4 linked regions of the Xenopus tropicalis genome follow. The protein of the gene in region 4 interacts with the protein of the main gene of each other region in a pairwise test. Links are inferred from orthologs where the notes say so. Each region holds a gene or a part of one and is shown on either strand. Other genes may lie near its edges.

What was found.
Region 1: the proteins of nudt21 (region 4) and cep126 interact in a two-hybrid assay, tested with the Homo sapiens proteins (2 studies listed by BioGRID and IntAct). The link is inferred for Xenopus tropicalis from reciprocal best matches to the Homo sapiens genes NUDT21 and CEP126.
Region 2: the proteins of nudt21 (region 4) and myl6 interact in binary tests that used the Homo sapiens proteins (3 or more experiments, as listed by UniProt). The two-hybrid records come from large-scale screens. The link is inferred for Xenopus tropicalis from reciprocal best matches to the Homo sapiens genes NUDT21 and MYL6.
Region 3: the proteins of nudt21 (region 4) and rbm48 interact in a two-hybrid assay, tested with the Homo sapiens proteins (2 studies listed by BioGRID and IntAct). The link is inferred for Xenopus tropicalis from reciprocal best matches to the Homo sapiens genes NUDT21 and RBM48.

The regions. Positions count from the first base shown.
Region 1 is NC_030678.2:162,392,594-162,399,926, reverse strand, and holds part of cep126 (centrosomal protein of 126 kDa), read left to right. Parts: intron 1-3,254; coding exon 3,255-3,374; intron 3,375-7,333. UniProt on the Homo sapiens protein: Participates in cytokinesis. Necessary for microtubules and mitotic spindle organization. Involved in primary cilium formation.
Region 2 is NC_030678.2:137,524,382-137,532,477, reverse strand, and holds the start of myl6 (myosin light polypeptide 6), read left to right. Parts: upstream 1-3,234; 5' UTR 3,235-3,243; coding exon 3,244-3,246; intron 3,247-3,644; coding exon 3,645-3,672; intron 3,673-5,941; coding exon 5,942-6,085; intron 6,086-6,611; coding exon 6,612-6,785; intron 6,786-7,154; coding exon 7,155-7,232; intron 7,233-7,436; coding exon of another isoform or gene 7,437-7,465; exon of another isoform or gene 7,466-7,478; intron 7,479-8,096. UniProt on the Homo sapiens protein: Regulatory light chain of myosin. Does not bind calcium.
Region 3 is NC_030682.2:31,760,651-31,768,680, reverse strand, and holds the start of rbm48 (RNA-binding protein 48), read left to right. Parts: upstream 1-2,936; 5' UTR 2,937-3,051; coding exon 3,052-3,162; intron 3,163-6,081; coding exon 6,082-6,272; intron 6,273-6,736; coding exon 6,737-6,882; intron 6,883-7,880; coding exon 7,881-8,030. Other genes in the region: pex1 (peroxisome biogenesis factor 1), read right to left, coding at 2,599-2,709. UniProt on the Homo sapiens protein: As a component of the minor spliceosome, involved in the splicing of U12-type introns in pre-mRNAs.
Region 4 is NC_030680.2:51,659,749-51,667,081, forward strand, and holds part of nudt21 (cleavage and polyadenylation specificity factor subunit 5), read right to left. Parts: intron 6,399-7,333; coding exon 6,198-6,398; intron 5,755-6,197; coding exon 5,691-5,754; intron 4,503-5,690; coding exon 4,413-4,502; intron 2,742-4,412; coding exon 2,666-2,741; intron 1,080-2,665; coding exon 965-1,079; intron 1-964. UniProt on the Homo sapiens protein: Component of the cleavage factor Im (CFIm) complex that functions as an activator of the pre-mRNA 3'-end cleavage and polyadenylation processing required for the maturation of pre-mRNA into functional mRNAs.

The sequences.
Region 1 (7,333 bases), on a different chromosome or scaffold from region 4:
TTTATTATTACAGAGAAAAGGGAATCATTTAACCATGAAATAAACCCAATAGGGCTGTTCTGCCCCCAATAAGGGGTAATTATATCTTATTTGGGATCAAGTACAGGTACTGTTTTATTATTACAGAGAAAAGGGAATCATTTAACCATGAAATAAACCCAATAGGGCTGTTCTGCCCCCAATAAGGGGTAATTATATCTTATTTGGGATCAAGTACAGGTACTGTTTTATTATTACAGAGAAAAAGGAAATCATTTTTTAAATTTAGAATTATTTGCTTATAATGGAGTCTATGGGAGATGGCCTTTCCGTAATTCAGAAATTTCTGGATAATGGGTTTCCGGATAAGGGATCCCATGCCTGTATTATTGCATAGTCAATAGTATACCTTTTATATACATTTTTTTTAACTTTTTTTTGCTGTGTTACATGTTTTTTTGCCTTATAAAAGTTTTTGGCTGTGTGACTAATGTGGCAGTAAATCACACTGCGTATGGGTGTGTTTTGGTGCTTTTATTGCATTTTTAGCTCTGATGGTTTTTATTGGATTTAAGTTATTTTATTGCATTCTGCAATGTTCCCCATTACATGTTTTAGCCTGTGAAATCTTTATTTACAAGTTTTCTCATTTTTTGAGGCCTCTGCTGGTGATATAAGTTGTGTAATCCTATGCATATTGGGCATCAAACTTTCAGAAGACCCCTGGCGTTTCAATTTAGGTTGTTTAATGTTTATACATAACTATATTTGAGAGATAAGATGCTGTAAATTGTAAAAAAAAAAAAAAAAAAGCTAACTTTAGTAAAGCTTTGCATTTCGGTAGTTTGGAGTAGAAAAACATTTACCCATTTTGGATTCAGAAAATTGTATGCTTAATAAAAATACATGGTTTCTGTGCTCCGCTTTGGTTTTCTGGAGTAAACAACGATTTCGTAATGTCCACGATAATATAGTTTAAAATTCCACAACTTTTTCTTGCTTTTCGTTGACTTACACAAAAAAGTCGTATTTTTCGCAAAGACTACGGCCATTTCGGAATTCATTCAAGCTTTGGTATCGTGACTATTTTTTGGCCAGGTTGGATCTCTAGAGTGCCATTGAGTCCTATGGGTGGCTTCCAAAATCATACATTGATGGTTTCAAAGTCAGAAAGGTTTTCGTGCTGTTTCCGAACGTTTGGAACCGTAACCAAGATATTTTCGTGACGTTTTCTAACATATGAAATGTTTGAAAATCACATCATGGTAACTCCGAATTTTTTGCATATCGTGATTTTAACCACAAAATAATTGTGGTTTAATGAATGGGCCCCTTTGTCTATGACTAATTAAGGAAACTGATATGTTGCGTTAATAACATTTTTGTTTTTATTATAGGGATGCACAGAATCCACTATTTTTTGATTTGGCCGAACCCCAAATCCTTCGTAAAAGATTCAGCCGAATACCCAACCGAATCCTAATTTGCATATGTAAATTAGGATATGGAAGGGTTAAGGTGCTGCAAAAAATTTTCAACTTCCGTGTTTATATAATAATAAGGATTTGGTTCGGCCGGGAGCATGAATTCAGCCAAACACAAATCCTGCTGAAGAAGGCAGAATCCTGGATTCGGTGCATCCCTAGTTTTTATTATACTTTTTGGTGACCTACGTGATTTCTTGAGTTCCTACCCCTTTTTTGGTATATATGATAATTTTTTATAGTTTCTGGGGGTGACTGACACCAGCAGCCAAAATTTTTTTGCTCCATACCACTACAGTGTTGTTATTATTGTTACTTTTTATCGCTTATTTTTCTATTCAGATCCTCTCCTAGGCATCTTCCAGGGCTCTCATTCAGACCACTACCTGCTTGCTAAGGTAAACGTGATCCTAGCAATCAGATAGCAGTTGACATTCCAAACTGGAGAGTTGCTGATCAAAAAAGCTAAATCGTTCATTTAAAAAATTGCAGATTGTATTAGAATATCACTGTCTGCATTTTACTAAAATTTGAATTGCAGCATTCGAGCGTTGATCTAGCTAAAACTATATTGCAAATATTTCTCATTGTGCGGCTGCCATTACGTCACACTTCAAAGTCAAACCTTTTATTTGTACAGCGTTGAATGATGTGTTGTAGTGCTGCAGAAACTTTGTGTTCTATAATTAAGTCTATAAGTCTGTATAATCTATTAATAAAACTACAAGGCTGCTTTGTTCCTTGACAATTCAGGATACTTTATGATATTAATATGACTGATGTCTACTATGCCCTGTGGGGAGCAGTGAAGTCATGCTTTACGATGTAGCAAGCAATTGTGATTTTCAAATGAGTAAACAGACAAGCAATTGTCAAGGCAGGAAGAACAAACCATTTTATCATATGTATAAGCATGGTGAGATGCTGGTGAAGGAAAAGCTAGCTGATGAGTTTACACATGTACCATTGTAGCTCATCTGTGACATAATTATAGGTTGTTACCTAAAGGAGCAGTTCATTTTCAAATTAACTTTTAGTATGTTATAGAATGGCAAGCAACTTTTCAATTGGTCTTCATTTTTTATTTGTTATAGTTTCTAAATTATTAGCCTTTTTCTTCCAACTTCTTCCAGCTTTCAAATGGGGGTCACTGACCCTAGAACTATTAGTCTGTGAGGCTACTATTTTATTGTTGTTGATATATTTTATTACTTTTCTTTCTGTTCAGGCCCTCTCTTATTCATATTCCAATGTCTCACTCACATCACTGCTTGGTTGCCAGGGTAATTTGGACCCTAGCATCCAGATAGCTGCTAAAATTCCAAACTGGAGAGCTGTTGAACAAATAGAGTAATAATTTAAAAACCACATATAATAAAACATTGCATCAAACTAAAAGTTAATTCAAAGGTGAACAACCCCTTTAATATAAATGAACAATTAATATTTTGGTCCAGGCATCAACGAGCCAATGCGGTCCCTGATCCAATGAAAAATCAAACCTGCCCGATTTTAGGCCAGATATCGCTCGCGCGGGCCCGTCGTTAGTGCCCATACACAGGCTGATAACCTGCCGAATTGGTCTAATGGACCAATATCAGCAGCTAGAATCGGTCCGTGTATGGCCACCTTTAGAGTTGGCCAGTAAGGGTGAGAATTGGGCAGTACGAATGAATATTTTGCTGAAAGCTGATAGTTTCAATTTACCATTATAAACAACAACAAAGTCAAATGTATAAGCATTTACATTTATCAATCAAGACATATCCCTTAACTCAGTCCTGCTTTAAGAAACCAAAAATCACATCTGGAAATAAACTTGGATGAAGAAAGACAGGAGTTGCTGGAAGAACAAAAATTATGTCGAATTCGAGCGCAGAAATTAAGCATAGAGACAAATCGACGAAGAAAGTAAGTCTATACTGGTGTTTCTTAAAGGGATACTGTCATAATTTTTTTGATGTACTTTTTATTTCTAAATTACACTGTTAACATAGCAAATAATTCCCTCTACCATTTAATTTTTTTTCCTTAAACCAACAAATGGATTTTTTTAGCTGTAATATTGGTGTGTAGGCACCATCTCAGTGCATTGTGCCTGAGTCTGAGCTTTCAGAAGGAGCCAGCGCTACTCATTAGAACTGCTTTCAGCTAACCTATTGTTTCTCCTATGTAACTGGAAGAGTCCCAAGCCGGACTTGGATTTCTTACTATTGAGTGCTATTCTTATACCTACTGGGAGCTGCTATCTTGCTGCCGTTCCAATTGTTCTGCTGATCGGCTGCTGGGGGGGGAGGGGATCACTCCAATTTGCAGCGTAGAAGTAAAGTGTGACTGAAGTTTATCAGGGTGCAGGTCACATTGGTGTGGCACCCTGGGAAATGAAGAATATGGCTAGCCCCATGTGAAATTTCAAAATTAAATATAAAACAATGTGTTTTTGAAAAACAGACTTCAGTGCAGGATTCTGCTGGAGAAGCTCTATTAACTGATGGGTTTTGGGAAAAAACAAGTTTTCTCATAACAGTATTCCTTTAAACTTATTCTCAGGAAGCCTAGAAATTCTGCATTTGCATTTATATACCATATTTTGATTCCATTTTTGTTACTGTTAGTGGAAACTTTACCTAACAGATTGGTGACCCATATGTAATAGTGAAGTTAAAGAGGGAAGTGTTTTGCCTATGGCACATTAGGGTTAGGTCTTAGCTGGACAAATTCCTAGTAATTAATGGCCTGTGAAAAACAGAATGGTCTTGAATAGGCTAAGGAGCAGATACAACAAAAGGGGCAGGAACTCTGGGAGGGGTCTTCAGGGTCTCTGTGCAGCAGTATTTAATATGTTAATGGCACCCTACCTGTCTCTGTTTAGGTTTCCTTATTTAAGTTTGAAGTAATTGTATTTGCTTTTCAAACTGTTTCTGTTCAGCTGTCAAGTGGGCAAATGTTGAGAAATAAATGTGTAGTGTTATTCCTGTTATAGAGCCTACTTTTGCAGCTATAAATGTGTTCCTAAAGGCTGCCATATACCTGCCTATATCTGATCAGCTGGGTGATAGACTGATACTAAATGAGTGGCTATACTCCGTATGGGCACCTTTCTGTTGGTCTGTTTGTTTGCTCTAACAGCCTAAATGATGGAACAGTATAAAGTGAAAAGGACCTACAATCGATGAAGCAACCAATATATATTGTAACACCAAAAATGAAGTATATGTTGAAGGGCAGGTTTGATTTCCCCTTCAAGTTGAGGACCTTGTCGTCTTGTTGATGGGGTCTTTGACCCAAATCTCATTTGTTGAGATCCAGTCGTTTTGCACTCGGGCCAAGCAATTGAATCGGCCTAATATTGCCCACCTTAGGTTGACAAAGTGGTGAAAGATCCCCTCGTTTAGCCCATAATATAGCCGACTTTAACCTGCTTGCAGATTCAGTTTCATATGAGAGCCATTGTTCTTTTCTTTCTTTCATAATTCTTATTGCCTTCCAGTGCTGTCACTTGGGTATTAGCCCAATTGTGGCAGATATAAACCAGTAGATACAAACCAAATACAAACCAGTAATGGCTGAAAGTTTGCAGAGGAAAAAACAAACCTTGCCCAGCTTTGATTACAGCCTTGATAGAGAATGAAGCAATCTATGCGAATCTAATATATAATACATTTTGCATAAATAACCGTCCATAATTCACTTTTTATGTATTTAGTAGAACAAAGACCTTTTGTTAACTAAACATTATGATACTTTTATTTAGAAGCTTGCAGGTAAACGTGATACTCTGCCATGGAACGTATGGAATGCATTAAGGCCCATGTTCTCATTTGGAGCATTCATAGGTTAAGAGTTACCTTAGACCTAACTTATTAAAGGCTATAGATAGATTCTATGTCCTGAAGATCCTTTGTTACACTAGTTCTTAGAAAGAATAAACCATTCTTTGGTTTAGTGATCCTGAAACTTACACTGTACCGTAACAATCAGCTCTTTTCCATTCACTTCATGCATTCATTTGCTATTAATGCAGCCGCAATTTTATTGCTGCTCGGGGATAGATACACCGCTAATTACTAAACAGACACTTTCACTGGAATAAAAGCTTTGTTTCTAAAAGTAAATTGAAATATTCGCAAATACCTATCCGGTAGTGATGTGTGGGGCAGGAAAAACTCAACAACCGCCTGACCTGAACCCGCAAAACCTTAACTCATACCCAACCCTGACCCTCAAAACTTTGACCCGCACCCAAAATATTGGCATTGCAAGACCCGACCCATACCTGCATCTTTCCACTCCATATGCTACTTCTTGTGTGGTTTTGTTTCTAAGACAGGAAATAGGGGCTGGAATGAGGGATAGGCAGAAGAGGCATGTGTCTAGGGCGCAACGGTAGTGGGGGGCACTATGCACGTACCTCTTCTTTCACATACCCCTAGTCTAGGCCCTTGTCCCACCACCGTCCCCATGTTCATTACTTTCCACTCCCTGTCTCAGGCACACTCGATTGTTTGCACAAATATGAAGGTTCGGCCGGGTTGCCTAGGGAATCTGTAGGAGCAAAGGTGGAGTGTATTTTTCCAGTCTGTCCCACGCCCAAACTGGACCTGTACTGGTCAACACACACATCACTACTACCGGGCAAGCTTTAAAGGAGAACTAAAGCTTAACTAAGGAAATAGGCTAGAAATGCTGCACATTATGTTTTGGGCTTCTGTACTGGACTTCTGTGCCTCCTTAGATGCCCCCATTAGCTCCTCGTCTTGTTTTCTCCTTATTCACTGCCTATACTCTGTGCTGCTGCTGTCACTTACCTGAGCTTAGGGACCCATTCACAATATACTATACTCATTCACATTCACATTACATGGCAGCTTTGAAGTCAGTGCAGTTGTCATCAGAATTTAACAATCAGCCCTGTAGCATCAGTTTATATTACAGGCCAGCCTAATTTTCAGCTTGATAATTTACTACAACCCCTAAGCTCAGCTTCTCAACAGCTGCCCAGAGCACACTGAGCACGTGCAGTGCCACTGACAGATCTAACAGAATCCAAGATGGGGAGCTCCTGTGACTACTGTAAAGACCTATATCATTATTAATATAGAGATGCTGAACCTTTTGGCTAGTGCAGTGAGTAGTATAGAAAATATGGCATTTCTGGCCATATTTGTTTTTAGGGTTTAGTTTTATGTTGTTTAATGTTGCTTTTAGTTATTAGTTGGGCCTTATTCAAATTGCAAACATTCATTTACCTCGATTCAGTTGGTCCCGCTAGTCAAATACGAAAAAATACCCCCCTCCCCCTCATTATTATCCCTGACTTCCAGGAATAGCTAGAAGGCCAAAATGAACATTCATCCCAATTTCCCATGTAACCAATCTACAGGCTGGGCCCCCTTAACTCATTATCATCCAACAGTTTGGGAACATCTGCATTAGGCTGTGAGTAGCAGTGATATAGCTAATAAGAAAATGAATAATTATGTAATATATAAGGATGAATATTTACAGAATGAGAGTTAAAATGCACGCTTCACACACATATCCTGTAAACATTGCATAAATATTGCTCATTGCATGCAGAAAATCCATTAAAAACCAGCACGTGTATAATTTCTGTCTATTACACATTGTAGGTTACAAAACAACAAACTTAGCAGTGTGCTCATCATTAATAATAATCATGCCAGTACAGGCAGTAAATAGAATTGCTCACATTATGCTTAATCACTAGCATGTTGGCAGAGCTTCTCTGTTTACAGGGAAAATCTATTAAAAGGGATCAGAAATAATCAGATTACAAGCAGCATTTTCCACAGTCTCCTGTAACCACATACCCTGTAAATGCAGGATGTGAATAAATTATGCATTGC
Region 2 (8,096 bases), on a different chromosome or scaffold from region 4:
AATTTAACAGCATCAGCAGCTCCCTGATAGCAGGTACCATAGTATTTACAATTTTCCTGCAGGCAAGCAATAAAAGGGTATCTAAGGCTTAGCTTAAAGAGAACCTCAGCCCAGGGTCACTGCTGCCATGAGGCAAGATGAGATACTCACTTCAGGCAGCAGCACCCTGCAATTGCGCTCCCTGTACTAGCGATGCGGCCCCTGCCTAGACCCCTCTGGCACTGTAAAAATAAGCATGGGGGGCTAAGGGGGGCGGCATTGCTAAAGCTGCTTCGGGCAGCATTTAAGACAGAATCGCCTCTGCCTCAGCCATTCTTGTGGGCTGTTTAGTGAATATGAGTGGTGCAGGCAGGGGGTGCAACAGGCAGTGCAATGGTGCAGGCAGGAAGGGGGACCCCTGGCAGTGTGATGGTGCAGGCAGGAAGGGGGTGCCACTGGGAGTGTGATGGTGCAGGCAGGAGGGGGGTGCCACTGGCAGTGTGATGATACAGGCAGGAAGGGGATGCCACTGGGAGTGTGATGATACAGACAGGAGGGGGTGCCCCTGGGAGTGTGATGATACAAACAGGAAGGGGGTGCCACTGGGAGTGTGATGATTGCACGGTCACATAGTAGTAGTCTATGTCATTAACTTAAACCTAAAAATAATCATGTTCACCATCGCTAATACCAATTAACAATTCACCAGTGTAACAATTCACATATATACAAGTACAACAATCAATAAATAAATATAAATTAGATCATAAAGCATTAATGTTTAGGTTCAGCAACACCTTTGAGGCACTGATTAAGTTAAAAGAAAGTAAAAAAAATCAAATGCATACTTGCAGAGATTATATCACTGACCTATCCTATACACTCACATACATAAATTATACATACAAACATTAATACTAACTGTAGATATTAGTATCACAATAGCCTTGGATACTATGCTTGTTCAAAAACTTATCCAGGCCCCTCTTATAGGCATTAACAGAATCTGCCATTACCACATCACTAGGAAGGGCATTCCCCAACCTCACTGCCCTCACCGTGAGGAACCCCCTACTGTATGTTGCTGCAAATGAAAGTTAATGGTGATGGTGGCGCGGCGGGAAAGATCCGTATATGTATTTATTTGGCACCAAGGCCATTTCACATAAAGTAAATAATTCAAATAGCATTAGCAAATAGCCCATCTCCTGCCCCCTTACTGAGTTAATCTACAAGCTAGCACCTATCACTGAAGCCCAGCATAAAAGAGGGAATAACACTGGTAGGAATAGGATTTTCACTAGTAGTGACAATGGGAATGTATAAGCTGAAGGTACAAGGTTACATTTGCTTTGTATCTATAGGTTTTCATCTCTGCAGAAGTTGCCATGTAACCTCCAGTATAAGACCCCTCTGTTCAGCTATACCAGCAGAATGGAAGCCTGACTTCATTTACTTTAACCGTCTCATCTGTGCAGTTGGCAATGTAACTGTGTTTGGTATAGATTATAAAACCTCCAAGTGATTGATTGAATTTGAAATGCGGTGCGCATGTCATAATTGTCAAAAGTAGATCCAGCTGTGGGTCCGTGGCTGCCCATGGTGGCAGGGCCGCCATCAGAAATCACGGGGCCCCTAACAACAAAATTTTCTGGGCCCCCCTCCCCCAGGGCCCCTCCCATCAGTACAGGACACACAGACATAAAAAGTATTAGGGCCCCCCTACCACAGTGCCCCCTAACACTATGCTGGCCAGGCCCCCCTAACGCTATGCTGGCCACAGGCCCCCCATAAAATTGCCCCATATACAGTACTCCCATACACAGTGCCCCCAATTGCCCCATACACAGTGCCCCCATAGACAGTCCTCCCCACACACAGTGCCCCCAATTGCCCTTAGACAGTGCCCCCAATAGAAAGTGCCCCCATACACAGTGCCCCAATTTCCCCCATAAACTGTGCCCCCAATTGCCCCCATAGAAAGTACCCCCAACAGACCAAGTCATCGTCGGCTGCTCCTTCTCTCTTATGCTGCGGCAACAGGCCCTTCTATAAGGTTGCACCTCGTCGCTGACGTGTGACTTCATATGCACAGGCGCAACCTTATAAAAGGGCCTGTTGCCACAGCATAAGAGAGAAGGAGCAGCCGACGATGACTTGGTCTGTTGTGGGTACTTTCTATGGGGGGCACGGCACGGCGCGGTCTATTGGGGGTACTTTCTATGGGGGGTACACTCTATGGGGCAATTGGGGGCACTTTCGGATTCGGTTCGGTGCAGAGCATGGATTCGGCCGAAACCGAATCCTTGAAAAAAAAACGCAGTATTCGGCCTTATAGGAAATAGTATATATACAAATATATAAAATATATTATATATACCATTTGGTAAGCAGATTTTATACATGACCAGTACAATATATAAATTTTTATGCAAATATCAGACTATATATATATATATAGTTGAAACAGAATACCACACTCACAGGACTTAGTGAAAAAATGCGCTACATTTTGGCGCCATTGTGGGTTTAAGAGTGGGTTTGTAATTACTTTGTTCACTTTGAGAAAGGCTGTGGATACGGCCGAAACGTTAGATAGATGTTTTTCACAATAAAACATAACTACATTTTTTCACTAAGTCCTGTGAGTGTGGTATTCTGTTTCAACTGTAACACTTGTATTTTGTATACTGCACCCAGGCATTTTGATATAAAAATACCTGAGTGCCTGCTCCCTACCAGCTCTGTAAGAATATATATATACTGGAACAATGACAGCACTCCTAGGGTTTAAAGAATTGTGAGAAAATGTAAATGCAAAAATAGAAAGGTTTATTACTAAGTAACTAAGTAATAAACCTTTCTGTTTTTGCCTAATAAATAAAATGAAAGTGTTAGATATTATAAAATAATTATGATTACATAATGTAGTGATTACATAAGTGACCAGTAAAATATATACATTTTTACGCATTTATCTGTGTGTGTGTGTAAATAATGTTTTTCCTAATACAAAAATTAAAATGTTAGATATAACATAATTTTGATTAAATCATTATTAATTAAGAAAATTTCACTTGCGATAAAAGTACAAACCCATCCCAAGCAGTTCCGCTTATTGGCCAGCAGAGAGCGCACAACGTATATTTGCGTTTGACGTTGCCAGGGCTTGGGGCGGTGACGGGGAGATGACGTAGTTAGGGCTACAAAGAGAAGAAACCGGGAGCTGCGATTCACATTCCGGAAGGGAGAAGACGCGTCAAGATGGTGAGGAGTGTTCGGCAGCTGATAGTCTTTCCCTAGGGGTCTAACCCCAAAGCTGGGACTGTCCAACCTGCGGCCTTTCAGTACCTGATGAGACAAAAGTCTCAGGTTGAAGTTGCATTATAAAGGCTGGAGGGCCGCAAGTTGTCTGTCCCATTGCTAGTGAGGAGATTGCGCAACATCGGTGGATTCCATTGCCTGGCAGATGTTCTTGCCGCTGGCATGCAATGCCCTTTCCTGGCACAATTCCCCATGCCTATAGATTGCCGCTATTACATGTGGGAGACATCGGCAAGGTTGCTGGGGATCACTTTCCGCCCGTGTCGCCCTGGGCCTAGTGGGTGGGTGTGTTGGGGAGGCTATGCCTGTCTGATGCCTTGTGTTTCTCTTGCTTTGAACAGTGCGACTACTCCGACGACCAGATTGCCGGTAAGTGCTCGCTTGGTCTCTATACGCGGCCAGATAGTGATGATCCGTCTCCCCATAGGCTCAGGCTCATCAGTGTCTTTCCCTCGCTTCCCTCCTCCCATCATGCTCACCCTGTCTCTCTCATTTCTCTGCCCTCTCAAGCCTGACTGTACCCAGAGCAGCCGGCCGGTAAGTGGGTGCCCCTCACACTAACCCCGCACTCATTCCTTCCCTACTCACCTTCAGCTTTATTTTTCTAATCTTGGGGTTCTGCTTGGCCCCCCAAACAGACAATCCTCCTTCTCCCAGACATTGTGTCATTAAAGCTCCTGTGCCAGTGATTGGCTGTCTGTGAGACTGGGAACTCTAGTTCAGCAACAAGCCTTGCCCCTCCCTGTTCTGCAGTGATGCATGTTTGGCCATAAGTTAGCCAGAGTGTTCTGTTTCTTTGCAAAATCTGCCCAACTTTGTGATTGGCATGAAATGTGTTGTTGCCTTTTCCCTAATCTACTTTAGGCTTAAGCACCCAGGATCTCTGGCAAATAAGGGGTTAATTTTATCAGCAGTGCAGGACCCCCCTGTGTGTGTGGGAGGGGTTTGTTCTAATTCACATTCTAACCAGCTCTTGTTGCAGAAGGCTAATTCCATGGTGGACTGGACATGCCAGTACTACCCTGTAATAGACATAATGGATGTACATGTAATTGGATTGTATCCATCAGAGCTATGGCTAAAGACTCCTGTATCGGGTTATTGCAGGGCTCTGGGCGTGTTGGCGCAGACAGTGTTTATGTTCCTCCTGTACCTACATTGTTCTTTGACACACACGCCCTCCCTCTCCTCAGAGGAAAATGGCTGCCAGGCTGTTCTCTGGATGCCTTATATGGTAACAAAGCCTCATTCTGAGCCTGTCAGTGCAGAACTGTCAGCAGAGGAGGGGTTGGCAGTGAGGAGGATGGGGCTGAGCTCCCTGCATTCCTGCCGGGCTGATGCCTGCAGGCTGGATTGTCTCTTCCCTCACTGGGTTGGTGCAGCCCAGCCTCAGATCTGCTGTGGGTTGTACTGGGCGTATTACTGTGTGGCAGAGAGGGAAACGTTCCATTTGAAATGATTTCCTCTGAAAGGAATCCAGCAGGAGGGGTCAGGTTAGGGAGTGCCACAGGAAGGAAATTGCCGGGATCCCCCCCCCCCCCACTCGCCTGATTGCTTGCAGTTACTATTTCTAGTCTAAGGGCTGCCGTACAGCTTCAGCCAAGACATTTGTGCAGATGTTATAGCTGTGCAACAAATACTTGAGGAAACTGATGTAGAAATATATATATATATATATATATATATATATATATATATATATATAATGGAAGTTGTTATATGCAGTGGGAGTCCTGTTCCTTCAGGTCCCTAGATGTTGCTGGATTACAACATCCCATCATTCGTCAATATTTTTTAAAGATTTAAAGCATGCTGGGACTTGTAGTCCAGCAACATCTAAAGCAGGGCAATGCAGATTTTTGGACAGCAGAGATCCATCTGATCATGTTCAGACTTCTGAATATAGTAAAGCCCAGGAAGCCTGGTAGTATTTATATGTATATAGTTGGTTAGTACATGTTATAGGGGAGCAAAGAGTAAGTTAGTGCTCAGTATGTGAAAGCTAACAATAAGCTGTGCTGTTGGGAATATATGTGCCCTTACATTTGTAAGTATGCACTGCTGACCCTGCATGCTGACGCGTGTGTGTTTGCGTTAAGGTGGTTGTCACAGGGGCCAATGGAGAGTGATTTTATACTGCTTACTTGGACAAAGCTTCTGAAATCTTGTCTGCTTGTGTCCTGTATCATTGGTCCCCTGCCTATGGCGCAATCCTGCAGTGTTGACATGGGCCCAGTCCGAAGGTCAGTTAGCATGGGAATTTGTGGGAATGCATATTTGCAGCTCTAGATATACTAAACATCACTGATAAATTATATAAAGGGCCCCTGACAAAATATTGGACCTGTGAAGGGTGGGGGCATGAACAGGAAAAGTGCCTAAATCTTTATTTGGTAAATACCAAGAGTCCGTGTGGTTACTCCGTGACCCACTGTCACCTTGTGCTAGTTAACTAAATATTTCTGCGCTAATGCAATGAATTCTCTGTGCATCCAATTCTGCAAAGCTGCTCCAGTAACTGTGTCACTGCCAGTGACTGACCCCCACACTTTGTATTACTGGGTGAGTTTGCATCGGGCCATTTCTTTCTCTCAGCCATTCATGCCCTAACTTATTTCAATTCATTTTTACTTTGCAGACTACAAGGAGTCCTTCCAACTTTTTGACCGTGTCGGCGATGGCAAAATCCTCTTCGGCCAGTGTGGGGACGTCATGCGGGCACTGGGGCAGAACCCCACTAATGCTGAGGTGATGAAGGTTTTGGGAAACCCAAAGCCTGAAGGTGGGTAGAAAAGACAAGGAATGAGAGCCTTGAGTAAATGTGTGCCCTGGGTATTGTCAGGGAGTATTGTGTGCTCCGCTCCATATTTCTGTATGCTGGGCAGTTTCAAAATATTTTTTTTTTTTTTTTTTTTTTAGAGGCCAGTGTCTCATGTCATTGCCTATATTTACACTTTTTTTTTTTCCTTTAAAAGGCTCTCTTAGTAGTTAAATATTCTCATTAAACTAAGAATCACTTGTAGATATATGATGAGGGTTATTACATGCAAACACGGTGGAACCAGTAATTGCAACATTGCATCATACATACAGGCGTTTCCCATTGTTTATGAAGGAGAATATTTTGCAGCCATTCTTGCTGGTTGTGTTGCAGGCAAAACATAAAGCACCATCATACTGTGCCACACAACTGCTAGTAAAGTACCTGAAACAGCAACAATGTCTAGCCTATTGGCTATGTAACCTTCTATCTAGGGGGCTTTACCTGTATGGCTGGTGCTAGTTTGTTCTGTCTCTTATTCCTGCAGACATGAACATCAAGACACTTGACTTCGAGCAATTCCTCCCCATGATGCAAACAGTTGCCAAGAACAGGGATGTACCTGGATTGGAGGACATCATAGAAGGGCTAAGAGTCTTCGACAAGGAGGGAAATGGCACAGTTATGGGCTCCGAGTTGCGTCATGTCCTGGTTTCCCTCGGTAATAACACAATCCCTTGCAAGCTATGTGTGTGTTAGCTAGCCTGCTGACTATCCACTACCATTGATCAGAACAATGGGCAGAACAACTGACTGATACTCGCAAGGCCTAAGATAAATTAGATTTTTTATTTGTCAGTGGGATGTTGAATGGCATCACACCAGAAGAAATTGTATGGCACCTAGGCTTATGGCGCACGTGATGATGATTTTTTTTTTTAACTAGCAGGACAGCACCTGAACCATATTTGATCCATTAATGCAAATTACCGACTACTATAATGTGTCCGATCATTTTCAGCTGCTGGAGAACATACCTTACGCTTGTTATGGAAGTTGTTACGTAACCCTTAATGTTTCTGTTCCACAGGAGAGAAGATGACAGATGATGAAGTAGAGACCCTTTTAAGTAATCATGAGGATGCTAATGGTTGCATTAATTATGAAGGTGAGCACTGTACAGGCATCTTGCTATGGAAGTGTTTTTATCTAATGTTGAATAATATTGTTTCTGAGGACTCATGCTGGGCAGCCGATTAGGAATGTTCTGGGAGAGTAGTGTTACTGGGAATGTAACTGTACTTTGGGTGGTGGGCCCACATGTGCACGATGGTATATGATATCTTGTCTCTGATGATTTTCGTTCCCACAGTGTTTGTCAGGAACATCTTATCTTCGTGACTTCACTCAGTGGGTATGCTGGTTCCTACTACTAGTTTCAGTATATTCTGCCCAGTTTTTCTCTTCTGGTTGCCCCTGGCCTATCTGCATGTTCCTTGCTGTGTCTGGATAGCATTTAACAGACTGCTGCTAACACATTATATTTATTATTGCAGCTTATCCTTGGCTTAAAAGCGTCCTCTGCTGGTAGCCAGCTACTGTCACTGAACTGGCAGTGTTTGTGTGATTTATAAAATAGTGTATGTGTGTCTTCTGTGCATTATGGTAACACTCAGATCCATATTGTTTAGAACAGCTAGCAACCTTCTCTTGGTCACTGGTAGGTGACATTGCAAATAAACAATATTTAGGGGAACTGTGGCCCTTTAGCTACTGCTGATGGAATGCTGGCATTGAAATTAAAGCCACAGCTAAATAGCACTGTAAAATCCTGTATGTTTGTTTCGGAAGGAAATCTTAGCAGATAAATCAATGTTTACCAAAGTTACAAACTAAAAATACTGTAGAATATATATTATTTGCCTAAGCTCATTGTGACCAGGCAAGATAATGATGGGGAAAGGGGGTAGTCCTGCTATATTAGTGCACAGTTCCTTATCTGAGGTAACCCAAAGGAATACATTCGTTATTG
Region 3 (8,030 bases), on a different chromosome or scaffold from region 4:
ACCATCTCTCCCTACTATACCTGCTATCCCACAGCCACAGTCCCTTCCCAGAGGCTATTATCCACTGCTACTATAGGCACCATCTCTCCCTACTATACCTGCTATCCCATAGCCACAGTCCCTTCCCAGAGGCTATTATCCCCCCACTGCTACTATAGGCACCATCTCTCCCTACTATACCTGCTATCCCACAGCCCCAGTCCCTTCCCAGAGGCTATTATCCCCCACTGCTACTATAGGCACCATCTCTCCCTACTATACCTGCTATCCCACAGCCACAGTCCCTTCCCAGAGGCTATTATCCCACTGCTACTATAGGCACCATCTCTCCCTACTATACCTGCTATCCCACAGCCACAGTCCCTTCCCAGAGGCTATTATCCCACTGCTACTATAGGCACCATCTCTCCCTACTATACCTGCTATGCCACAGCCACAGTCCCTTCCCAGAGGCTATTATCCCCCCACTGCTACTATAGGCACCATCTCTCCCTACTATACCTGCTATCCCACAGCCACAGTCCCTTCCCAGAGGCTATTATCCCCCCACTGCTACTATAGGCACCATCTCTCCCTACTATACCTGCTATCCCACAGCCACAGTCCCTTCCCAGGGAATATTATCCCACTGCTACTATAGGCACCATCTCTCCCTACTATACCTGCTATCCCACAGCCCCAGTCCCTTCCCAGAGGCTATTATCCCCCACTGCTACTATAGGCACCATCTCTCCCTACTATACCTGCTATCCCACAGCCACAGTCCCTTCCCAGAGGCTATTATCCCCCACTGCTACTATAGGCACCATCTCTCCCTACTATACCTGCTATCCCACAGCCACAGTCCCTTCCCAGAGGCTATTATCCCACTGCTACTATAGGCACCATCTCTCCCTACTATACCTGCTATGCCCACAGCCACAGTCCCTTCCCAGAGGCTATTATCCCCCCACTGCTACTATAGGCACCATCTCTCCCTACTATACCTGCTATCCCACAGCCACAGTCCCTTCCCAGAGGCTATTATCCCCCCACTGCTACTATAGGCACCATCTCTCCCTACTATACCTGCTATCCCACAGCCACAGTCCCTTCCCAGGGAATATTATCCCACTGCTACTATAGGCACCATCTCTCCCTACTATACCTGCTATCCCACAGCCACAGTCCCTTCCCAGGGAATATTATCCCACTGCTACTATAGGCACCATCTCTCCCTACTATACCTGCTATCCCACAGCCACAGTCCCTTCCCAGAGGCTATTATCCCACTGCTACTATAGGCACCATCTCTCCCTACTATCCCTACTATACCTGCTATCCCACAGCCACAGTCCCTTCCCAGAGGCTATTATCCCACTGCTACTATAGGCACCATCTCTCCCTACTATACCTGCTATCCCACAGCCACAGTCCCTTCCCAGAGGCTATTATCCCACTGCTACTATAGGCACCATCTCTCCCTACTATACCTGCTATCCCACAGCCACAGTCCCTTCCCAGAGGCTATTATCCCACTGCTACTATAGGCACCATCTCTCCCTACTATACCTGCTATCCCACAGCCACAGTCCCTTCCCAGAGGCTATTATCCCACTGCTACTATAGGCACCATCTCTCCCTACTATACCTGCTATGCCACAGCCACAGTCCCTTCCCAGAGGCTATTATCCCCCCACTGCTACTATAGGCACCATCTCTCCCTACTATACCTGCTATCCCACAGCCACAGTCCCTTCCCAGAGGCTATTATCCCACTGCTACTATAGGCACCATCTCTCCCTACTATACCTGCTATCCCACAGCCACAGTCCCTTCCCAGAGGCTATTATCCCACTGCTACTATAGGCACCATCTCTCCCTACTATACCTGCTATCCCATAGCCACAGTCCCTTCCCAGAGGCTATTATCCCCCCACTGCTACTATAGGCACCATCTCTCCCTACTATACCTGCTATCCCACAGCCCCAGTCCCTTCCCAGAGGCTATTATCCCCCACTGCTACTATAGGCACCATCTCTCCCTACTATACCTGCTATCCCACAGCCACAGTCCCTTCCCAGAGGCTATTATCCCACTGCTACTATAGGCACCATCTCTCCCTACTATACCTGCTATCCCACAGCCACAGTCCCTTCCCAGAGGCTATTATCCCACTGCTACTATAGGCACCATCTCTCCCTACTATACCTGCTATCCCATAGCCACAGTCCCTTCCCAGAGGCTATTATCCCCCCACTGCTACTATAGGCACCATCTCTCCCTACTATACCTGCTATCCCACAGCCCCAGTCCCTTCCCAGAGGCTATTATCCCCCCACTGCTACTATAGGCACCATCTCTCCCTACTATACCTGCTATCCCACAGCCCCAGTCCCTTCCCAGAGGCTATTATCCCAGTTGATATTATTAATCCTTTTCTGACACCTACACAAATACACCTCATGTCATGTTACTAAACTCCCTCCTGCTTTCCATGTAGAATCACCTGAGAATCCCAAAGCCCTGGTTAGTGCCCGGACAGGGCCATTACAGGCATCATATTAAAATAAACAAGTGCTGCCCATCACGGACAGACGGGCCCCGGTTAGAGTTACCTGCTCCAGGCGTAATTGTGCGAGCACCTCAGGTGTCACACGCAAAAATGTGTCCTTAGCACTTGTGAGTTTCAGGGACACAGCAGCCCCGGGCGGTCCCGGACCTAGCATCCTACTGTGGCGTACCCACAGCAACCCCCTTCACTCCAGCGCTGTGTATGACGAACGTGCAAGTAACAGAACTTCCATCGCTAACGTTATCAGCTCCTTCATGCCTACTGGGTAACTTCCGCGCTGTTTCACCTTTGACAATCGAGGAAATCCCACTCACCCTGTGTCTGCTGACGTATAGTACCTCCCGCCCAATCAGAGAATGGCGTGCTCTAATGACGCCTGTGTGCGGGGCAGTCCTTCCGCCTATTGGTTCTGCTGCCTTTCCGCCTATTGGTTCTGTGTCCCGGCCTGTGTTTGGTACAGGGAGAGAGGGAACTATTTCTTAGACAGCAGAAGCCGATGGCAGAAAGCGCAGCAGTGCAAGTGCAGGCCTACGCACACCATGAGCAGCGAAAGATATGCGCCTCACGGGCCAAGTACCGCGAAGGACGGAGGCCCAGAGCAGTCAAAGTGCGTGAAACATTTACAGTTTTTGTTTTGGTTTTTATACGTCCACACAACTAGTATTCCAGCGTATTCTTGCGGTGGGACTGAGCGCCAGTGCCGCTCTAGCAGGTTTCCCTTCGTAGAAATTGCTCCCTAGAGTTATCACTGAGTTACAGCTTCCATAAGAATGTTAGCTCTTCTATATTCATGTGGTTTTAATTGGGCACTGTGTGGGAACTGGTAATGATTTCTGTTTCTACATAGGAGCATATTGTTCCACTGAAGGAAAAAATGCTGCCTTTTTATCTGCACCCACTGATAGGGGAATAGTGTGGGAGAGGGATTAGAGTTCTAGTTCACCATTTGGAGGCAGTAGGTTTCATTATAAACTATGGGCTATTTCCCATGATTGTAATTATAGATGTCACAGACCCAGTGGCTGCAACTGATAAGGCTAAATATATGTTTATGAATAAAAAGATAATTTTGTGGTTGGGCCCAGTGGTCTCTAGTTACACCAGCAGTCATGTATACTGCAAGCCAGTGGGGTACCACAACAATTTCAATTTAGGGCCCAAAAAATATTTGTATGTTAACCTATTCTACCAAGATACATTGACATTTCTCATCAATTAGGGTCTTATTGGGCCACTTCCATTCCTGGGCCACTTCCATTCCTGGGCCACTTCCATTCCTGGGCCCCCTTCCAACTGCAGGGTCTGCCCTAGCACACACTCCAGTTTCCCTTTCCTTGCCCTGTAACATTACATCATTTCACTCTGCACACATTCTCATACAACCAGCACACTTAACATGTCTGCATATAAAAAAAACACACACAAACTGATACTATTTTCTTTTAATTTCATAAAGAAGAGTATAATGCACTCAGTTACTGGGTTCACGTTAAACTGAGGGGTATATTTAAAAAAAAAAAAAAAGTTTAAATTTGACGCTTACCAAGATTGACTTGTAAGGGTCTGTTTTAAGCTTTCCATATCATGTGACAAATGTAAGATGCTGATGTGCATTTAAATTTTAAATGTTTGAGAAATAAAAAAAATTATATTTTGACCAAAAACTGAAAATGTGCCTCATCTCAGTTTTGTGCCTGTAGCCCTCGGCTATTGCACCCAGTCAGATTTATTCATATAATGCCAGAGATTCTCAGCTGGATTGAGGTCAGGCCTGTGACAGAGCCATTTGATCACTGGGATCACTGTTCTACTGAAAGATTAATGTTTATTTTTTAGCAGCCTGGAACAGGCTTTTTTTTGGTGATATTTCACTGTATTTTGCCCCATGCCTTGAAAACAATATTCCCAGTTGCTGCGTTAATTATATAACACACAAATCTGTGGTACTAATGAAGAATCAGGCTTTTGCGCAGAGAAATCTTTAGTTTAGGACTTTAAAAACTGTTGATTCCTTGCTGAATACTTGGACAGATAACCATTTGCTTTATACAGTATGGCAAACATGGCATATACAAACAGTTGTATCACTCTGGCTTGATTAAGCCATTTTACAGATGATGCAAATAGAAAAACTTTAACGTATGTTCAAGCCAAAGAAAAGTATCCAGTGCTTTCTAGCAAGTTACTGGCTTTCCTTCAAAAGCGATACCAGTAAAATTATATAGCCATCCTCCCGCCAAGAGAGCTATATCACTGGGCTTTAAACTATTATATAAGCAGAAATGAGTTGCTGGAAAGCTGCACACCATAAGAGCAAGTTAATACCTGGGTGCCAGTGCTGAAAGCGTAGATACACAGGGTTGGAATGACAGCACACGCAGGATGTTTTTCAAGAAGAATCACAGAGGTTTAGATAAATAAATGTGAGGCTTTATTCAGTCCGACGTTTCAGTTCCTATCTGGAACTTTCATCAGGGACAGTAACATCACAGTGCAGTACAAACCTTTTTAAGCACAAAAGGGCCCTAAACCTCTGTGATTCTTCTTGAAAAACATCCTGCGTGTGCTGTCATTCCAACCCTGTCTATTATATAAGCAGATAGTCTATACTTCTTCCACCAAGGGACACAACAAATGGCTTCTGAAATTTTCTCAATTACAAATGTCTCAAGGCCTTACAGTATGCAAATAAATGTCTTCCAATGGGATCATATAAAGAAATGCATCTAAAATTCTTTTTATTGAGCCTACTACTCGCCAAAAGTCAGTCCCAAATAGGACTCTCTGGAGGCAGATTTATTTAATTGTTTCTGGACATGTCCTCATAGTAAAAAGTTTTGGGTATCAATAACTTGTTATGCCATTGATAACTTGCTAGACTATGTTCCTATGTTACCAAAATGGATTATGTTCCTATGTTACCAAAATTGACAATGTTTGGTATCCCTACCAAATACTAGACTTATTGGGGGAGTAGAAAAGTACTGTTTATCATATCTGCAGCTGCTCGTAAATATATGCTACAAGTGTGGATAGAGAAACAACCCCGTCACTGTCTTTTTTTAAAAGTAAATTTTATATATTCACCTATTATTTCACCTGTTTCACATGGATTGGCTAGAAGTCTCCCTCCAAAAAGAAAAACACACGAGATGAAGAAAGAAACAAATGGCAATCAGTTTTAAAATGTTTTAAGAACAATTATTTTAAAACAAGGTTACTGATCCACCAGTAGTGCTATAGATGCTATAGAAAGCGCTTTCTCTTACCATTATCCTTCCAAGTGAATGACTTCACTTTGAGAATTATAAAACTATGCTTCTTGTAGATTGTAAGCTCTTTTGGGCAGGGCTCTCTTCACCTTTTGTATCGGTTTTTGATTGCTTAGATGTCCAGTGTATGAAACCCACTTATTGTACAGCACTGTGAAATATGTTGGCACTTTATAAATAAATGTTAATAATAATAATAAAAGAAAACCCCCAAAAACTGGCAATTCCTGCTAACCTTTTCCATTACTTTTAAGGTGTACACTATAAATCTGGAGTCACGGTACCTCTTGGTGCAAGGGGTTCCAGCAATCGGTGTAATGAAGGAGCTTATTGAGCAATTTGCCCTTTATGGAACCATAGAAGAGTATAATGCGCTGGATGAATACCCTGCTGAAGAATTCACTGAGGTGTACCTCATTAAATTTCAGAGGATACAGAGTGCAAGGTAAATAATGTTGCTGTACACACTGACTTGCAAAAGTACTCAGACTCTTGGCCATCATTGTATTCAAAAGAACTATCAAAGAAGAAAAATTGTGAAAATACATACGTCTGCATAAAAATTTAATCCACCTTTTACAGCCGCAAGATTTTTTTTTCCAACATAATACAATGCAGTGTAATTTTTTTTGAGTTTAAGCACAATTTTTAAATATAAATATCATAGAAATCTAAACCTAGAATGTGATATCTTCGTACAGGTATGGGATCCCTTATCCGGAAAACCGTTACCCTTTCCTCTATAATTATAAAACAGTACCTTGTACTTGATCCTAACTAAGATATAATTAATCCTTATTGGGGGCAAAACAATCCTATTGGGTTTATTCGATATTTTAATGATTTTTATGGAGATCCAAATTATGGAAAGACCCCTTATCCTTAAAAATTTATCTTGCACTTCTCTAGAGTCGCAAAACGGAAGTTAGATGAACGCAGCTTCTTTGGCAGCATGCTTCATGTCTGCTACGCTCCAGAATTTGAGACTGTCCAAGAGACTCGAGAGAAACTGCAAGAAAGAAGAAAGTTTGTAGCAAGGGCCACATCCAGCAAAGGTTTGTTGCACAGCATGTGGAGCTTTTTCATTTGGCTACATACACACTGGTGCCTAGTAGTGCTTTTAACATGCAGACAAAGAACACTGAATTCAACCTTGAACACATGCACAAAAGTTTATATATATATATATATATATATATATATATATATATATATATATATATATATATATATATATATAAGCAAACAGAGTACCGCACACATAGGGACTTTATGAAAAAACAAAAAAGGTTTATTGAAATAGATCCGACGTTTCGAGCACCAAACTGTGCTAGAAACGTCGGATCTATTTCAATAAACCTTTTTTGTTTTTTCATAAAGTCCCTATGTGTGCGGTACTCTGTTTGCTTATTTAATTTTTTTTTGACCAGCACCGAGGGCATTCGTTTGCCTGATGGGTGTGCTCCTTTCTGTTTCTGTATATATATATATATATATATATATATATATATATATATAATATAATAAAGTCAAATTGTGTGTCCACACTCTAAACAGGTGCAATAGGTGGGTGCTAGGTCGAAACATGTAAATACCTATAAGAAGGACCAGCGTGCCGAATCACATCAATATTTTCTTTTTATATCCAGAATGCTCGAGATCTGGGTTTTTTTAGAAAAAGAAAATAATTTTTTAAAATTTTAATTATTCTCTTATAATGTAGTCTATTTGATATAGCCTTTCTGTACTTTGAAACTTGTCTGGATAATGGGTTTCTGGATAGTGGATCCCATACCTGTGTATATAAATATAAATCTATAAATATATATCTCTGCGTGCCTACATGGGGTGAGGTATGGTGCCTTTATATAAATGCAAGTTACTCTACTCTAAACTCATTATAACCACAGCATGAAGGAGGCTTCACTTATGGGGACTAAGTGGCATAAGCAACATATTTACATAATAGGAGAAGGAATGTTCCATTGCAATTTACACATATATATGGTATTACAAAAGGAAAAAGAAACTTAAAACTGTTTCCCCTTCACAGACTGGAATGCAGCAGACAAGAAACAAGAAATCGCTACGATCTGCACTCAGGATGTATTAGGACTTCACAAATCTATTGCAGATTCTTCTCATATTTCCTGCAGAGATCCTCTACATGACAGGGGTGATGAGAAATTTTGCTATACTGCAC
Region 4 (7,333 bases):
GATGTTCCTGGTCCTCTCAAGGCAACTTCCGCGATTTCACGGAAATCACGCCGCCGCGTATGCCATCCCACCGGCGATTTACATTTTTGCTGGTGGGATGGCATTTCGGGGAGATTAGTCGCCCGCGAACAGGGAGATTTGTTGCGGGTGACTAATCTCCCCGTGTGCCAGAGCCCTTAAAGTAGTTGTTCACCTTTGAGTTAACTTAGTATGATGTAGAAAGAGTGATATTCTGAGATAATTGGTCTATCCTTTTTTATTATTTATTTACATTTCTGTTCATTGGTTTTGCAGTTTGGAGTGGTTTAAATAAGAGACTGGAATATAAATAGGAGAAGAGCCTGAATAGAAAGATAAGTAATAAAAGTAACAATAACAATAAACCGTTTTTTTAAAACAAGAAGGCAAATAATTCAAAAACTATAAATAAAAACTATAAATAAAAAATAATGAAGACCAAATGAAAAGTTGTTTAGAACTGGCCATTCTATAACATATTAAAGGTAAACTTAAAGGTGAACCAACCCTTTAAGCAGATATTCAGATATTAATTTCTTTTATAGCATATACAGTATGCACAGCACTAAACTGATATACAAAGCCTTTAAGAAAAAAAGATGTACAGCAGTAAATGCTAAATATTTAAAACATTTACAGATGGCTGTATGTAAAAGTATGAACCGAATTCAGAAGCAATAATAAAATTAACCATGTTATGTATTAAAACTAGACTCCCTTCCATTAGTTATCAGAGACAGGCAGACTGTGACTTTGAAGCCCATTGAATACATCGGTAATCAGTGTCATGGCACAGTTTAAATATTTACTTTATTTTTAAAATGTATTTTTAGAGAGAACTACAAAATATATTGCACTTATTGACAATGTAGGCTTGTCACAGTCACTCTCACTTTGAAACAAGACAATAATATTTCAAAATGTATTATTTCAGAATGCAACCTACCTGCTAAGAAGCTGTGGGAGACTTGAAATGATGGGGCCATATCCAGGAGCATTGTCGTACAATTCAAATAAAGGGGCTGCAACAAGTTTGTAATTTTTGGGCACAGCAAATAGTGCTAAAGGATAAATGAAACCAGAAAAATCATTTAAAATAATTTTCCTTTTAAATTGTAATTGTCTAGAAAAATAAAGCAACCGATTAGCTATTTGTTGTAAAGCAGGTGACCTGTTAAATATGGTTTAATTGGAGAATTGTATTATATAATCTGCCAAAAGTCAATTTTATCAAGTTTACTTATTAGCTGGGAACTCCTTAAGAGTAAAGCCCATGTCACACCAGGTGTTTTCTCTACTGGCATATCTGTGCTGGGGGAGAAAATGATGACCTTCCTTCTGCACCTATAAGTGCACTGAAAGGCTAAATTCTGGCGCAGAAATGCATACTTTCCATGTTCCGACCTGTCTGTACCCTAACTGGCCAATTCTGTGCCTGTCAGTGCACAGTGATGTCAGGGCAGGGTTAAACAGATCTGTGTTTTCTCACCCGACATATATATATGCTGGTGGGCAAAACTCCTGGTGTGACATGGCCTAAATTTAGAAAAATGTAAGACACAAACAAGTCATTCAGATCATCAGATAATTATGGCTATCTACTTGCAATTTAATGCATGCCTGAGGTCTGGTGCATTAAACACACCTTGACTTGTTAAGCCTTCAGTCCTCTAGTATAAACTAGGGGTACAACAAATACAAAACACAAAATTTTACAGTATAGATTCGGACAGATACCAATAAAATCTGAACCCATATTCAATTTTTAAACCATGAGATAAAAACATTCATCTTTTTTGAACATAAATTAGTTGTCAAAACACATAAGTTGGATGCAGTTCAAGAGCTAAATAGATAATTAAATATTTGGGACCCTAAACCAACACAGGGCAAATCTGCATGTGAGTAGTAACTCATACAACTTTGCACAGTATCCAACTGATCAGCCTGACTGAACATAAGAAGAGAGAGGTAGCAGTAACAATTGAAACAGCAGGTACTGAAGACAACAAGCCATGGCTCCTCTTAACAGCCTCATTTTCCAATTCACTAAACACCATGATACAGGTTTTTTTAAACAGGTTGATCCACAAACTGGCCGATATCCATAGTACATGAATACTGGTCGAGATCATCAGCTTGCTAAACGTGCTTAAAGGACATGTAAACCTCCGCAAAAAAATTTAACCAGCGAACAGCCTTTTTAAAATCTTTATAGATACCTGGTTGTTAAAAGCTTAATTGTAATGCTACAGCATCCCCTTAATCACTTAGGATTCCTTCTCCTCCTCTAACCCACTCGGGTCCCCTTTTTAAGGAACAGACTCTGGCTGTTGGGTAATGAGCATGCTCAATTCTTCTCAACTCAACTCAGATTAAACACACTCTTCTGTCCAACAGCCAGTGAAGAGATGGCATTGCTGGTTCCTATAAAAACTCTGCTCTAGCTGTCTGCTCCTAATTTTTTTCCTAATCCCCTACCCTGAGCTTAATTTAACTAGTATACTGCTCAATCCAAGAAGGACTTTTTACCAAAATTCTGCTTGTGTAAGCCTGCATTCTTCATAGCATAACAGATGAAAGTTCTGTTTTCAGTTTTTATGTATTAGTATCCCTTTAAGAAAAATCAGATAAGCCAGCATCTTACCTTTCTCCTGCAACTGAACTAGGAACAATTTCTTGTGTTCTTTAGGTTTTGTAATATGAGCAGGAATGTATGGATACTGCAAAGATAAATAGGTATTTATCAACATACATACATACATACATACCATGACTGGGTTGTTTCAGTAGTTAAAGACATGTTAGGGAGAGGCTGAGGGGGGAAAGATAATAAAAACAGCCAATTTGCACGTCTGCTTTTTTGACAGCTCCCCATGAAGCATCAACATACCACCTAAATGTTTCTCTTTTTCACAAACAAACAATACAATAAACTGTATGGAGTTCTTGTAAAAAGTCTGGAAGTCTAAACATAAGAACTGGCCAATATGTTTGTTTTACAAAAAGAACACATTATACATTGTAAATTACTGCTTTTGTAAAAACCCCTTTATTTCTAAATATATGCAGTTACAGCTGTGCTTAATTGCTTATTTTATGCCATCTTCTGCAAGAACAGTAAAAATGTTCAGAAGGTTTAATATAAACACTGTTATATGTTTTATTTACTTTATGTGATTTGCCCTTTAACAAAAAATGTGAATCAGTAGTTACAATTAAGGTTAATTTAATTTAAAAAATTTTTGTACTAAATCATTTATTTGCAATACACATTTATTCTGATCCAGTATATTCATTTTCCCTAAGAATTTGCCTACTTATAATAATACAAGCTGAATGTGTGTTCTCATAGTCTCTACAAAAAGATACCATAAGCTTCTGGCAGCATAGGTCTAACCTCTTACCTAAGCATAATTTCTGTTAGAAAAGTTCAAGGCATAGCTGCCCCTAAAGCCAGTTTATTTCTTTAGATCAATGCTCACCAACAGAATACCAGTATATGAAATTGTGAAAATGGCTAGGACCGGAGAAAATGGGCAAATAAGCTTAAAACAAAACCAAAACAAAATAAGCTTAAAGGACATGTAAACCCCACACATAAAAACTTAATCAGTGAACAGCCTCTTTGAAATCTTTCAATACCTGCCACACTGGTTGTCCAGAGGTTAATAGTAAGGCTGCAACATCCCCTTAATCACTTAGATTTCCTTTTCCTCCTGTAACCCACTCGGCCCCCCAGGAATTTGCTTTGGCTGTTGGCTTGTGGGCATGCTCAGTTGTTCTAAGCCAAGATTACTAAACACGCCCCCCAGTCTAGCAGCCAGTAAAGAGAGGGCCTTGCTGGTTCCCATAGAAACTCCGCTCTAGCTGCCTGCTTCAATTTTTTTTTCTAAATGTAACTGATTATATATCAGAGGAAAAATGGCCACTGGGTGAAAGCTGCTATTTGCTTTTAGGAAAATGTGATGGTGCTGGCAAGCGGAGGGGATATATGCAATACAAATTATGCCATTTGGGTGAGGGAGATGTGCCCAACTGATATATATTGTAGGCAAATGTAGGCTTTACATGTCCTTTAAATAAGTGAACAATTTATCATCACACAGAAAGATGCTTCATGGCACAGTGGTGAAATATATGTAATACACTGATCCAGGGTGTGAAACTAGTAACCTAGATAATGCTAACAATATTAAGTTTGACACTATCCTGCAAGCAAAGTAGTGGTGCTTTCTTGCATAAATACATACTATTATACCAAAAAGTAATCACTGTGTGTGTGCAGTGAAACTATATCCTCAACTATTATTGTACACTGAAGATAAAATAAATAGAAACTCAATTAGCAGCAAGGTTGATGTTTGCTTTAACATTAGGTATAAACTGTATACCTGAGGAGGTTCAAAGTTGGGCCTCCACCAATTTCCAATACAGTCATCAATAACCCAGTCCTGCTGAACTCCATCTTGACGGCCAAGTATCTAGAAAACAAAAATAATGTTTTTAATATTTAGACCCGTGTGAAAGACTCCTTGTAACTCCTCATGTCACATAAACTTTTGAAGAACAGGCATGCACTCCTTGTCCAAAGCTTTTCACCAGGTGCAAATCAGATGAGGAATCTCAGTACTCCCCCTCCTTTACCACAGTCCAAAAAATATTCTGATGCACTCAGGTTTTTTTGTATCAAAATTCGAAAAACATTTTCTTTATTATATCAACGTTTCCACACCACAGAGTGGTGTCTTCCTCATTTCACATATTTATAAAGCGCCAGCACGCACAGAAGATACAAATTACATACAAAGAGGGCCCTGCTCAATACAGTTTACAATTTAAAAGAGAAGGGGGTATGAGACAAGTCAGCCACTCATATTGAAAATGCTACTTTGGCAAGGTTACCAAATGAACAGATGTTTGTCTTTTTATCTACTTGTGTGGTAAACACACTAGAGCAGATCCAAAGCTTTTACTGCAAATTAATCAAACAGAGGGTCCAAAAAAAAGTTTTCTGCTTGTCCCAACTGATTACAAATATACATATACAAAATACCAGATGAAGAGCACACCAAAATTTAAATGCGATACCTGGGTGCCAGAGCAGCAGACATGGAATAAAAAGTAAAAATGTCGGCACTCAGAGGGTTCTCACGATAATACTCACAGGCAATAAGTCATAGTAAGATACAGTAAGGTGAGGTTTACTGATCCAACGTTTCGGGGTTCTAGTAAGGAACCGAAACGTTGGATCTATAAACCTCACCTTACTGCATCTTACTATGACTTATTGCCTGAGAGTATTATCGTGAGAACTCTGTGAGTGCCGACATTTTTACTTTTTATTACATATACATACATACATATACATTCAGCAACGAGTATCTACCTCTACAAAAAAAAATTTCAATGGTAATCACTCCCTTCCCCTTCATAAATCAAAATGCGTATGCAATGCACATTGGCTGCTGCCATTTTTGACAAGTCCAGTGCCCAGACCTCCTGGAGGCCACCACCCGTGTCCCTGATCTGCATTTTACCAACTGGTCCAGGGAATGGGAGCAGAACCTAAAAGCTTCATTAATGTGGTTTGGAGTGGGGTGAATGTTCCAATTTACATCCAAGATCACCAAGTTTACAGCACAAAGGTAAAAGATCAAATATTCACTTACTTCTGTCATTAAACGTTTCAAACCTTCCACCTCATCCTCTCCTGGATTGAGTTCTCCTCCAGGCCTTTATGGAAAAAAAGTATAAACATATTCAACACAGTGACCATAGTAGAAATCTTTCTCAAACTCCTTTAAGTGGTTGTTCACTGTCCAAATCCTATTAAACCACCAACAATACTGTCAGCGTGTCAGAAAATGCATTTTCCATAAAAAATGACCCAGATATGGGATCTATTATATGAAAACCATATATCCAAGAAGGTCAGAATTATGGAAAGTCTATCTCCTATAGAATCCATTTAAGTAAATAACACAGAAAACCATTATTTAAAAAAAATCTTTATTTTTTGTGCGCGTGTGTGTGTGTAGATATATATCTATACACATTCATACAACTCCCCAAATGGCTAGATAGCAGCATTGTATGACATGTGTAGTCAAACCTTCTCAGCTACTACAGGTCTACTAAGAATAAAAAAGAATATACTGGAAAGTTCATGAACTCACAGTTTGAAGAAGGTGGTGCCCAGTTGCAGTAAGAGCACATGAGGCAATCTGTGTTCATGTACAATAAGAACCCCTTCTACAGTGCGTCGCATCCCGATCTTATCAAACTCCTCGCGCATGCGCTGGAACCTTGCAGCCACTGAACTGTCCTTTTCATACAAAGGCTCTTTGGTGCCAAAAGTGTAATTTGTAAGGGGATACCTACAAAAAAATATATTTTTAGTGGAAGACAAATTATTTATACACTCCATAAATGAAAACAACTGCTGGGTATTCTACGCTGCCACTGCATGAAGCCAGCTAAACAAGGGAAATGGGTCTGTGCCTATTAGTATGAGTGAGATATTTGCTACAGGTAAAAACTATTGGTTCAAGTAGTTCAAATGAAATATCAAATATTGCAGACATTAAAGGAGAACTCTACCCCCTGGGCTATAAAAGCCCCCTTAACTAGCACTGCCTTGACCCCCCTCACCTCTCCCTTATCACATTGTTTCTAACTTTAACAACTGTCCATTTGCTAACCCCAACCTAAAACAGCAAAGTAGCACAGCTGCATACCTGGCCGACATCTTCTTTGCAACTGAACACACTGAAATCTGCTTAAACTGCGCATGCGCAAGCAGGGTTTGTATCGGCAGAGAGACCCGAAGTGTGTTCAGTTACAAAGAAGATGTTGGTCAGGTACTTAGCTGCGCTACTCTGCTGTTTTAATTTGGGGTTAGCGATAGGGACAGTTGTTAAAGTTAGAAACAATACGATAAGGGAGAGGTGAGTGCTAGTTAAGGGGGCTTTTATAGCCCGGGGGTTCTTCCTTAAGAAGACTTATCTAAGATTTATTAAACATTCTGTATAGCTCATTGGATTTTGCATTGTAATACAATACATTTTATCTTGAACTTGAAAAGTTTAGTTAAACAAAAAAAAAAAACAAACAAAAACCCCACTGTTTTTATTACCAATTTGTTTCATAATTCTGGGCACCAAATAAATGAAATAACAGCAAATACAGTTTTGAAAAACAGTTTCAACCCCTCCCTGACCACTGAACATAAACTACAAGCAAACTCTAGCGATAAAAGGGGCCTGTCACCCTAAGAAATAATTCAAAATCCTTGTGTGTCATTTTAGTCAAG